Linked DNA regions of Drosophila melanogaster. The protein of the gene in region 2 interacts with the protein of the main gene of each other region in a pairwise test. Each region holds a gene or a part of one and is shown on either strand. Other genes may lie near its edges.

Region 1 (5,148 bases), on a different chromosome or scaffold from region 2:
AAAAAAAAGTGTTAACGTAAACTGGTCAATTTTATATTCTGCTAATAAGAACAAGAATAAAATTTTTTTACAATTAAGGAATATCATAACAAGAATTGATTTAACGTATAAATAAATGCCATGAATATATTTTCCCACCTAAATATACATTACAGATATTTTTTACTATGATCAGTATGTTGCGGACTATCGACTACCACAAAAAACGCTGAAAGTCTATCGATGATTTTACAAGATGCTTCATCCCTGAAAGTTGGCGCGCAATTCAAACTAAGAGTGCAAAATATTTCTCAACAGTACACAATCAGCAAATAAAATAAAAATATCTAGTACAGCTTATATTTTATTATATTACACTTAATATAATCCATTGTATTTAGCAGGTGCACTTATAAGGCAAAAAATGTTAGCAGGCTAGTTCGTTTTGCGTTGTTCAGTCACCGTGAAGTGTCACCAAATCAATTTGAATTTATGACCACTCGTATATTATCGGTTCATTAGCTACCAAAAGCCCCCGTTGAAGTGGTGACCAATGGAACTTTTTTTATCACAATGTCACAAAAACGTATGTCGCTTTTTTTTATTTCCAGCGCACATTTATGCATTATTTATGTCGTTAATTACCCGATCATAAAGAATTTCTTTAATATTCAGTCCCCACAGAAAGTCGATATGATTCCACTTTTCTTCCGGCATGCGATATGCGCTTTTCAGGGCGCTCGGGTTCATGGTATACCTAAGGCGATCCACGTCAATCAGACTAGCAAAGTAGTCGTTGTCAGAGTAATAGAGATAGGTGGGCACATCGATGCCCTCCACATCGTACTCCGGCGGGGTCTTGCTGCTGTACTCCTTCTTGTTGCGCGTAGATCCGTAGTCGAATTGCCGGAAGTATCCGGAATTGTACTCCTGCAGGTAGTGGAAGATCTGATTTACTGAGCATCCCGCCGGAGTGGTGGCCATAATATCTGGGAGCAGGGTCTCGTTGATATATGGCGAGTTCCAGCCGCCCAGCAGGAATAGGGTGTTGGTGCACATGAACTGTGAAATGGCCTCATCGCTGCAGAGGAGAGCCCCGAACAGGTTCATTAGCTGTGTATTTGGCAAAAATTCGGCGCTGCCGAAGAGCTCGACGAAGGCATTGGGCTGACCAAGCAGTGGTCCACCGACCGTGGCCAAAGGACTCTCCATATGCTCCATCCAGGCCACAGGAGCGAGCAAATGAGCAGATCGAATGCGACTCTTGAAGCGCGGAATCATAGAGTTGAGCACAAAAAAGGATGTGGTTCCTTGAGAGTGACCCACATACGTAAGTTGAGTCACATTTGTCCAGTAAAGGACGTAATCCATCATAGCGGGCAGATCATAGATTCCGATATCGTGCCACTCAAAATTCCAGAAGGGCTGCAGCAGCGGCGACTTGCTGGCGTGTCTTTTGGAGTAGGTGTTGCCTCTGGCATTACCCATCCACACATCGTAGCCCGCTTCGGACAGCAGGTATGCCAGCCCACTGTGAGGTCCAGCAAGAACCCAATCCGAGGAGGAACACAACAGACCGTGCATAAGGAAGACAACAGGGCGTGGCCCATCGTACCCAGTGTTCTTCGAGTACGGTATGCGGTGCATTGTGAGGATGTAACCATCCGAGGTCTGCACCTCGTGCTCCTCGATTTCGTAACCGTGTCCCCTAACAATGGTGACCTGGAAAGTAGAGCAATATAGTGGTTAGTAAGGACTTTTGGGTGCCAAAGAACATGGCATCCTAAAACTTACAGTTGTCACCGAACTGGCGCGCCCCGTATCCGCAGGCAGGGCATTAGCCAAGCCCAGACTTAAAAAAACCGCAATTAGCTGAACCACCAACATTTTGTATTCCACAGGTGCAGGTGCTTTGACCGCTGACTTGGCCGCCCGTGCCTTTTATATGCCCCCCAGGAACTTGATAAGGATTCCTAGATTTGGCTGCCTAATTTATGACTGTTTATTTTTGCCTGCAAAATGGTTTGATTCGCCAAGACTGATAGATCGTGTGGGAATTTCGATCCCAGTTGATTTAACGAATGGCTAGTGGTCATCAGCGATAAGGTCTCCTATAATCTTGATAACTGCTGATTAGGTATAATTGCTAAGAGTTAATCAGCAATTAGTATTTCCTGCTTTGGGCGTACGGCAAACTGGACATTAAAAGACCCCACATCAGTCTGTAAACTGACATGCTAAGCCGGTAAGGACAAAACTCAATAAATGTAGTATATTAAATGAATATGTTAAAAAGAATTAATTGATTTAATATTACACATAGTTCTAAGTTAAATATTTTAAAGTGATTACTATAATTAAAATTCGCGCCTATTAGTTTAAATTAAAATCGGTCGATAAGTCCAAAAATCGATAGGCGGTAAACATGTTGACACAATCAGTGTGGCCAGCTGGAATATTCGTAAAAATGTTGCGTTTTCTTGACAGGCGATTTTGTATTTTGGGAATGAGCGACGTCCGGCACACAAGAAATATAACATAAATAAAAAACTAAATAAATAATTAACTGCCGATAAAGGACACATTATGAGGGATCGCGACCGCCGTGACAGAGATCGCGACAGAGAGAGGGATAGAGATCGGGACCGAGAAAGAGACAGAGAGCGAGACCGCGACAGACGACACAGATCAAAGTCGCCCAGCAGGAGCAGCCGGCAGGTTTCAAAACCGAAGAAGAAAAAGGCCAAGAAGTCGAAAAAGTACTCGAGAAGGAGTCGCAGTAGCAGTCGCAGCACCTCGCGCAGCTCCTCCAGCAGCAGGAGTAGTTCCCGCAGCACGCACAGCAAAAGCAGAACCAGGGATCATCACAAATCGCGGTCTATTTCGCAGAGGAAAACCAGGGGTCCAAGTTCGGAAAGCAATTCCCGATCCGCAACCACACCCGCAGCTGCTCCCGTGAAGGCCATCGATCTGTTCGACACCAAGGTGCAAAAGGCACTCGAGACTATAGACGAGGACACCTTCAAGCCGGAGTCATTTTTTAGCTCCAGGGATTCAAAGGAGACATCCGATAAGGTGATCATAGATCTGAACAATGAAACGGTCACAGTCGCCAGCAAGCCAGCCACTGCAGTCCGAAACGAAGATGTAATATTCCATCCGAACGTGAGTGGGTTACCTGGTGCTCGAATATACATGCTAATAGTATCTGATTTTCAATTCCGACAGTTCCTGGGCGACCCGGATATGAAGGCCGAGAAGTGGCTGCGCAAGCTGTACAATTACCGCCAAAAGTACATGCAGGAGTAGTCGAGTTTAGACTCTGTATTTAAGAAACAATAAACCTATGTCTAGAATATATCGCTGCCCGTCTTTCGAGCGCGTTGCAAGGCCTCCTCCGGAGTCAGTTGCTCATTGACCGAGGGCTCCTTGGCGCTGCCGTCCTTCTGCAGTTTTCCCGCCTTGAAATCTTCGATAATCTTCTGCGAGTAGACGGCGTTGAAGAGATCCAAGCTGGTGAACTCCGACTGGACGACGTCCGGCGCCTTATAGGACACGTATGGCTTTAGCTTACAACCGGTCAAATCGGGAACTATGATGTCCGGAATTTTCTCGGGAATCTCCACATACTGCCCGTCGACAAGTATGCCCGTGTCTCGTACACCTCGCTTGTGAATGGCTACCGGCGGATTGGCCAGTGTTTTCTGGGCTTCCTTTACCACGCGCGTACCGCGCTTGTTGTATGCGTTAAATTTACGGAAGTTCCGCTTGCCCTCCAGCACGGATGAAGTACTGATGGTCCTCTGCTGGCACCTTAGGGCAATGGGCACTACTTTAATACAATTATTCATTCTTATTTCGTTTTTCGGCGACCAAAATGGTTAAATAACAAATGTAGATGAGGGAACAGCTGTTTGGTTGGGTAGAGATGACACTTTTTTCGATAGACAATTAATCCCAGTTGGAAATGTATTGGAAGCCAATTTGCTATTAAACTACTTGTTTTTTTAAAAATACCGAAAAAGTTTTTTTTCTTTTAGGCCGTTGCCATATTTATTTTATCTTGATAAGAACTAAGTTGTTTTTTTTTTCAAAAACTAGGCATATTTTTTTTATGTGTAAAAGCAACCATCTCTTAATAAATCGATTAACTTTGCAGCCACCAGTGCTTAAAACGACTGTTAGTTGAAATGAAACTAGATGTTGGCGGATGTCGATGTTTTTGGCGAATAACATCGACGTTTTAAACATCGATGCTTTAAATAAAAATAATTGCTTTTTATTTTAATGTTGCTTAAATAAAACGTCAGTATTTGGTGTCCACCTTTTCATCCTCCGCTGGTCCAGTAATTGCTCCTATAAGACAAATGCACGTTTACATACATACATGTATATACATTTAGACGTGCATATGACATGCATTCATATGTGCAAGCCTTTTTCGGGTGTTAAAAACTTTCTTCTCAGATATTTTCCATGTCTATCACGACGCCACAATATGGTATTAATAATTGTATTAGAAGATATGGAAAATTAATTTGTACTTACAATTTATACGCTTTTCTCCTCAGATGCGATGTAGAGATGGAAAAACATCGATGATTCCTCGAAAACATCGATGAATGCGATTTTTTGAAAACATTGATGACATCCATGCTAGCATCGATGTTTCTCCATCTCTAGCTGAAACTCCCCAAATCGGCTTGTGATCCCTATAAAAAGTTGATTTAGATTCGACGGTTGTTAAACAATGTCGTTACCGGCTGAAGAGGAGGATTTGGCGGACACTGTCGCCAAGTACGATTCCATCGAATTGAAGAGCATACAGGACCTGGAAACCTGCGAGCAGCAACAACTACTGCAGTACGTCGAAAAGCTGCACGGGATTATCCGCAAATACGACACCAAACTGGCGTCCTATAAACAAAAACTCCTACACTACGTGAGTCCCAATTAAAGGTTGAGCTAAAATGGTCTTAATTTTTGATCTATTTTAAAGGTAAGCCGGGAAGAAAAGGTTTCGTGTGACAAAGCCAGCCAAGCAACTGAATCGGAATTACAAGAATGCCAGTATTCCATGGAAAACGATGAGGATACTAACAAAAAAGACCAGCCCAACGATTGTGAGTTAAAATTTGTTTTATTACACTGAGTCCTTCTATTATTGCT
Region 2 (5,884 bases):
GCTGAAAAGGATATATTATTTAATTTAAAAGTTTATGCGGATGGATGATTATTACATGAATAAATCAGAGCGGGGAAGATTTGCTCATTTCGCTCCTGAGCCGTTTCCACCAGAATGCGGAGGGGTCCTCTTGGCGAAAGGACAGCAATAAGATCTATAAATAAATGAAAATAAAAAAAACTTAGTTATTTCAGCAATCTTGGCCTTCAAGCTGTGTCAAACTTACCCCAAATAGAAATGGCAGCCAATACAGCCCAGGCAGTCCATTCAGGCAGGTATTTAATGAACACCAAGGCCATCAAGGCTGCCACGAAAATGAGATATCCTTGCTGCAACCGCAGAGGTCCCTGCCAATGGATGGACATCATTCCGACCACTCCAAAGTTCCACATAATCAGTAGTGCAGTAGGGTAGTCCATCGGTATGTTATAGGCGCGAAGAAGCTCTCTAAATTAGGCAAACTATTAGTTGAACATTAATCGAAAATGGCCTCAGCTTACTCCAAATATAAGTACGTAAAAATGAACAACAACATGAAGGAGGAGAGAATCAGCCAGCCGTGAATGATGCGATAGCAACGCTTCTTGTACAAAACAATCAGCAAAAAGGTCATCACCACCACCACGCTCATCAGGATCAGGGAGTTCGCCAAGGCACTCCAGAACTTAACACTAGGCTCGGGCGATTGTTCATGGAAAGGTGTGTAGAGGCTGAGAACAAAAGAGACATTTAGTCACGACCGACACTTCAGATAAGTAGATTTCTGGTAAACCCTACAGATAGACATCCGTGCTGTTGTAGAAGCTGATGGAGTTGATGGTAGCCACCACTACCAGCATGCAAAGGGAGACGGGGACGAATAACTTGATCACATGCTGGGCCCCGTATTTCAGGCCCTGCTCTTCCTCCATTTCATTTGTGGGCGGACCACCACTGCCGCCTCCTCCACCGGTCAGTCTTGAAGGGCGCGAGCCACAAGGTTCACGCATCACCACATTGGGCACAGCAAGTATGGCCTGGCAGGAAAGGGGATTCGATAGTTGAATGTGTAAGCAACAAAGTTTCCCTTCGGTATACGCACAGCATCCGGTTGATCCTGATTGCTGGAGCCGTAGTTGTTCCGCTGCTGTTGCCGCCTTGGAGGTCGTTCCAAACGCTCCGCCGCGCCTATCTGGCTGCCCACATTGGCGTCATCCTCAGAGGCGAGCCCGGAGGAGCACGAAGCCTGGAGATTGACAGCAGCCATCAGTGGTGTGCGTTCGTTCGCCTCCGTAGCGCTGGACGCCTCCCCCTGCGAAGCCGTAGTTGTGTGATGGGATTTCTTGGGGAGCACCACCGATTAGGACCGAGCTTGACACTCGCAGGAGTTGGACTACTCACAGTTAAGGAAACCAAAGAAATGTAGCTGGTAAAAACTTTCTTTTGTTTTAAAGCGACTCATATACTAGTGATGGCAGTGCGCTCGTCCGGCTGAACTATCGATGTTCGATTAATTTGCGAAGGGATTAATATATTTAAGGTACAAGTATTTAGAATAACTTCTACATGCAATCATGCACAAATTAAAAGTGGCGACTTTGTCAACTCACAATTTTTTATGACTCTAAAAGGAACCCCTTTCTAAATCTTTGTTTAAAATACTGCTAGCGATAAATTTTTTCCAACTAAATACCATAAACGCGCTTCTTATAGAAACAGCTGTTCTCCACAAAAAGTGCCCATGAAAACAGCAAGTGGCAAACGGTCTTACTAAATATTTCATAAGTTTCGACAAGCAAAATAAATCGTTTATATTTTAATAATTGTAAAATAATTCATATGTATGTCATGTTGCGAGCTTTAAAAACTCACGCGGAGGCCCCCATTGTAGTTGCCACCGTAAGCAAACGCTTGAAAAGTACATATAAAAACAACTTATTTTGATTGAATAATAACAGCGTGCGGCATCAACGAATGCGGAGAAGCTTGAGGAGATTCGTGAACGTCTGGCAAAGGGTCCGAATTTCCATGACTTTGTGCAGAATCCGGACAACACCAGAAACGAGTGGGAACAGTACGATGGAAAGCTACGCCGCGAAAAGGGCGAGGAGCAGCGACTGCGATTGCCGCCTTGGTTAAAGACCACCATTCCCGTGGGCAAAAACTACGCCAAAATCAAGGCCCAGATGCGCGAGCTCAAGCTGTCCACCGTCTGCGAGGAGGCCCGGTGTCCCAACATCGGCGAGTGCTGGGGCGGCGGCGAGCATGGCACCCAGACAGCCACGATTATGGTGAGGGACCCCCCATGGTGACCTTTGCTGATAACCGAACATGCTCAGATAGTCTGAACATTATTTTCCACAGCTTAGGCGTCTTTTTAAATTTTTAAATTTTAAATTATGAAAGTCACTTAAACTACAATTCATTTTAAAGCAACCAGACAACGAATATTGACGAACCAATACTTCTTAACTACACCATTTCACAATACATTTTTTACCTAGCTTATGGGCGACACTTGCACCAGAGGCTGTAGATTTTGTTCGGTGAAAACGGCACGCAAACCACCACCGCTGGATGTAAACGAACCCGTGAACACAGCCACGGCAATTGCCTCCTGGGGATTGGATTACATTGTTCTGACCTCAGTTGATCGAGATGGTAAGTACTGGAGTGGTTTTTGACTTGCCATAGCTTAAAATGCCTTTACTACCATAGATTTGCCAGACGGTGGCTCGGAGCACATTGCCGAAACTGTTCGCGAAATTAAGGCGCGGTAAGACGAATTCATTATTAAATTTGTTCGAACCTAATCTATACTTTATGTCTAGCAACTCAAACATCTTTGTGGAGTGCCTAGTACCTGATTTCCGAGGAAATCTGGAGTGTGTGAAGACGATCGCCAACAGCGGGCTGGATGTTTATGCGCACAACATAGAGACGGTTGAGAAGCTCACTCCCTATGTGCGCGACCGGCGCGCCCACTACCGCCAGACCCTGCAAGTGCTAACCGAAGCGAAGAGATTCAACCCCAATCTCATCACCAAGAGTTCAATTATGCTGGGACTTGGCGAGACCGACGAGGAGATCGAGAACACCTTGAAGGATCTGCGGGAGGCCGGCGTAGATTGCGTGACCCTGGGTCAGTACATGCAGCCCACGAATAAGCACCTCAAGGTCATCGAATACGTCACGCCCGAGAAGTTCAAGCACTGGGAAGAGCGCGGCAACGAACTGGGTTTCCTGTACACAGCCAGTGGACCGCTGGTGCGCAGCTCCTACAAAGCCGGCGAGTTCTTCATCACAAGTATATTGGAGAATCGCAAGAAGAGGCAAAACGACACTGAAGTTCCCAAGAAGCAGTAAAATTTCTAAGCCTTTCCTAGTCGATCATGGATAGCTTTAGTTTAGCCTTTTATTCGCTACACACGCGCATGTTGTGCAATGTATATATTAGACGACAAATTTACTGTTTTGAAATAAAATCGAATTGTTTTTAGCTTTAAATGAAGTAATTCGTCTCCTGTGGTGTACAAACATACTTTTAAAATTACGCGCCAATTGGGTGTTTAAATAATTAATTCTGTGGCGTTAGGAAATTGTGTGTATACTCTATTTCGTCAAAACAGTTGGGCACACTGCATTGAGTGCACTATCTGTTCTATTATTGTTTTCTTTTTGTTAAGAGTTTGATTGAATCGGATTGGATAGAAGCCTGGTGAAAAGACAAAGAACCAGCGTAAAGATGCCTCGCCTTGTCAATGGCCGCGAAGCCGCGCCCACGTACTCGAATCTGGTAAGTTGAACTTCAATGTGTGGAGCCAGCGACTCCTTTCACCAAAACAAAGGATTGTATGCATTTGTTGCATGTTTGTTATGCTGTTTGCGCAACAAATGTGCATTTTTACAAAAGTCAGAAAGATTTGTGCTTATATTTTTGTATAAAACGCCTTAAGTACATATAGGTGTGCCAGTGGAAATATAAGAATCTACTCCATAACGCCCACTTGCACAATTTTTGCGTTGTGTGCACTTATTTTCGTTCCACAATCTGAACACCTGTCGCTCCGTGAGTTAAAATTTCCTTTTCTATCCACAGGTTGGCTTCATATTCATTTTCAATCTAATCGTTGGAACCGGAGCGCTGACGCTACCCGGAGTCTTTGCCAGGGCAGGATGGATGCTTTCCCTGATCGTCATTGTTCTGCTGGCCATCATCAGTTACATGACGGTCACTTTTATCATAGAAGCAATGGCTTGTGCGAATGCAATCAGGAATTGGCAGACTCTGCAGGCCCTGCGCCAAAGTCGCAGTTCCGCCGAAAACAGTGAAAACGATGATAATGCTGATGATGTTTCGCTGGCATCGGGAGCCGAGCAAGTTGGCGATTTCGAGCGGGTTCCGCTGACCATCCAAAACCGGGAGTTCCACTACTATCAGCTGTCCCACAAATTCGAACTTGGCGAAATGGCGACACTATTCTTTAATGAGTTTGGCCGCGTAATGTTCTATCTCTGCCTGATTGTTTATCTTTACGGGGATCTGAGCATATATTCCGCCGCCGTGGCAAGAAGTCTGCGTGACGTCGTATGGTAAGTACTCAGAACCGCACGCAGCTTACATCGGATCAAAAACTAATTTGGAAACTGTTTTCCGAGTTATGAAAACCTTTCTCTCATACGTTTGAGAATGTAATTTAATTCATCGTCTTGTTTCAGTGACCAAACAAATGGAACGGATACTAATAACTTGATGTATTGGCCCGGAGACTTTGAGAACAATACATCTCTGGCCTGCTGGAAGGAACACACGATATCTCGCTTGAACATGTACAGGGTGTTGCTCATAGGATTCACATTGATCTTTGGTCCATTTGTGTACTTTAATGTGCAGAAAACGAAGTACCTGCAGATGCTGACCGCTGCTTTTCGGTGGATGGGTAAGCTTCGAATTTTGTGCAACTAATAAGATATTAAAACGTGGTATTTCAGCTTTTACCCTGATGATCTGCATATCGCTAAAACTTTTGATTTCCAGAGGTGCCAAAGGTCATCCAGCGACCTTTAATGTATATGGAATTCCCTCTCTTTTCGGCGCCTGTGTTTACTCCTTCATGTGCCACCACTCACTGCCCAGTTTGCTGGCGCCCATCAGACACAAGTCAATGGTTTCCAAAATTCTATCCATTGACTACATAATCATTTGTGCATTTTACATTCTACTGGCCATGACAGGCATTTTTGCCTTCGAACGAATCGAAGACCTTTACACATTAGATTTTTTGCCCTACGATGTGGCCTACGTAGACTTTTGGTCAGGTCTATTGATTTGCATTGATTACTTCCTTGCACTTTTTCCCATATTTACCCTGTCAACCAGTTTTCCCATTGTTGCCATAACGCTGAAGAACAACCTTCAATCTCTATTCCTAGACATGTCGCAATATGAATCCTATAGCGTTATCCTACGCCTGTGCTTCCCTTTGCTCGCCATAATTCCGCCTTTTTGTATCACCTATTTCACTGAAAGTTTATCCAGTTTGGTGGCATTTACTGGCACCTACGCAGGCACTGGCATTCAATACATTATCCCCGTTTTCTTGGTTTACTTTGCGAGACGCACTTGCTCAGAGCTCCTGGGAAGCGGCGTAGTCAATCGTTTTAAAAGTCCTTTCAAGTCCAGTGCCTGGCTAGTTTTCGTCTTCATTTGGTCAATTTTATGCGTCTGTTTGGTATCTATAAATTTGTTCAGTTAAGTTATCTTATCTGCCAATGTGGAGATATTTTACGGCATTGAGTTTATTACCGGCTAGTAAAGTCCCATGTCATTTATTTTTAAAGAAATACTATCAAACTAATGTAGTTGTACATATAAAATAAAGAATATATGTAAATTAATCGAATT

The links. Proteins that work in one complex are often made in the same cells at the same time.
Region 1: the proteins of Las (region 2) and CG11808 interact in a two-hybrid assay, tested with the Drosophila melanogaster proteins (one large-scale study listed by BioGRID).

The regions. Positions count from the first base shown.
Region 1 is NT_033778.4:15,213,735-15,218,882, forward strand, and holds CG11808 (uncharacterized protein), read left to right. Parts: upstream 1-2,472; 5' UTR 2,473-2,565; coding exon 2,566-3,144; intron 3,145-3,207; coding exon 3,208-3,288; 3' UTR 3,289-3,329; downstream 3,330-5,148. Other genes in the region: CG8093 (uncharacterized protein), read right to left, coding at 598-1,701, 1,774-1,866; mRpL41 (mitochondrial ribosomal protein L41), read right to left, coding at 3,330-3,830; CG8079 (uncharacterized protein), read left to right, coding at 4,730-4,921, 4,979-5,102.
Region 2 is NT_037436.4:20,428,204-20,434,087, reverse strand, and holds Las (lipoic acid synthase), read left to right. Parts: upstream 1-1,726; 5' UTR 1,727-1,827; coding exon 1,828-1,878; intron 1,879-1,937; coding exon 1,938-2,270; intron 2,271-2,483; coding exon 2,484-2,640; intron 2,641-2,697; coding exon 2,698-2,755; intron 2,756-2,810; coding exon 2,811-3,345; 3' UTR 3,346-3,483; downstream 3,484-5,884. Other genes in the region: Psn (presenilin), read right to left, coding at 1-1, 56-154, 227-447, 501-710, 778-1,016, 1,082-1,246; CG5262 (uncharacterized protein), read left to right, coding at 3,725-3,775, 4,079-4,572, 4,699-4,919, 4,972-5,735. UniProt on the Drosophila melanogaster protein: Catalyzes the radical-mediated insertion of two sulfur atoms into the C-6 and C-8 positions of the octanoyl moiety bound to the lipoyl domains of lipoate-dependent enzymes, thereby converting the octanoylated domains into lipoylated derivatives.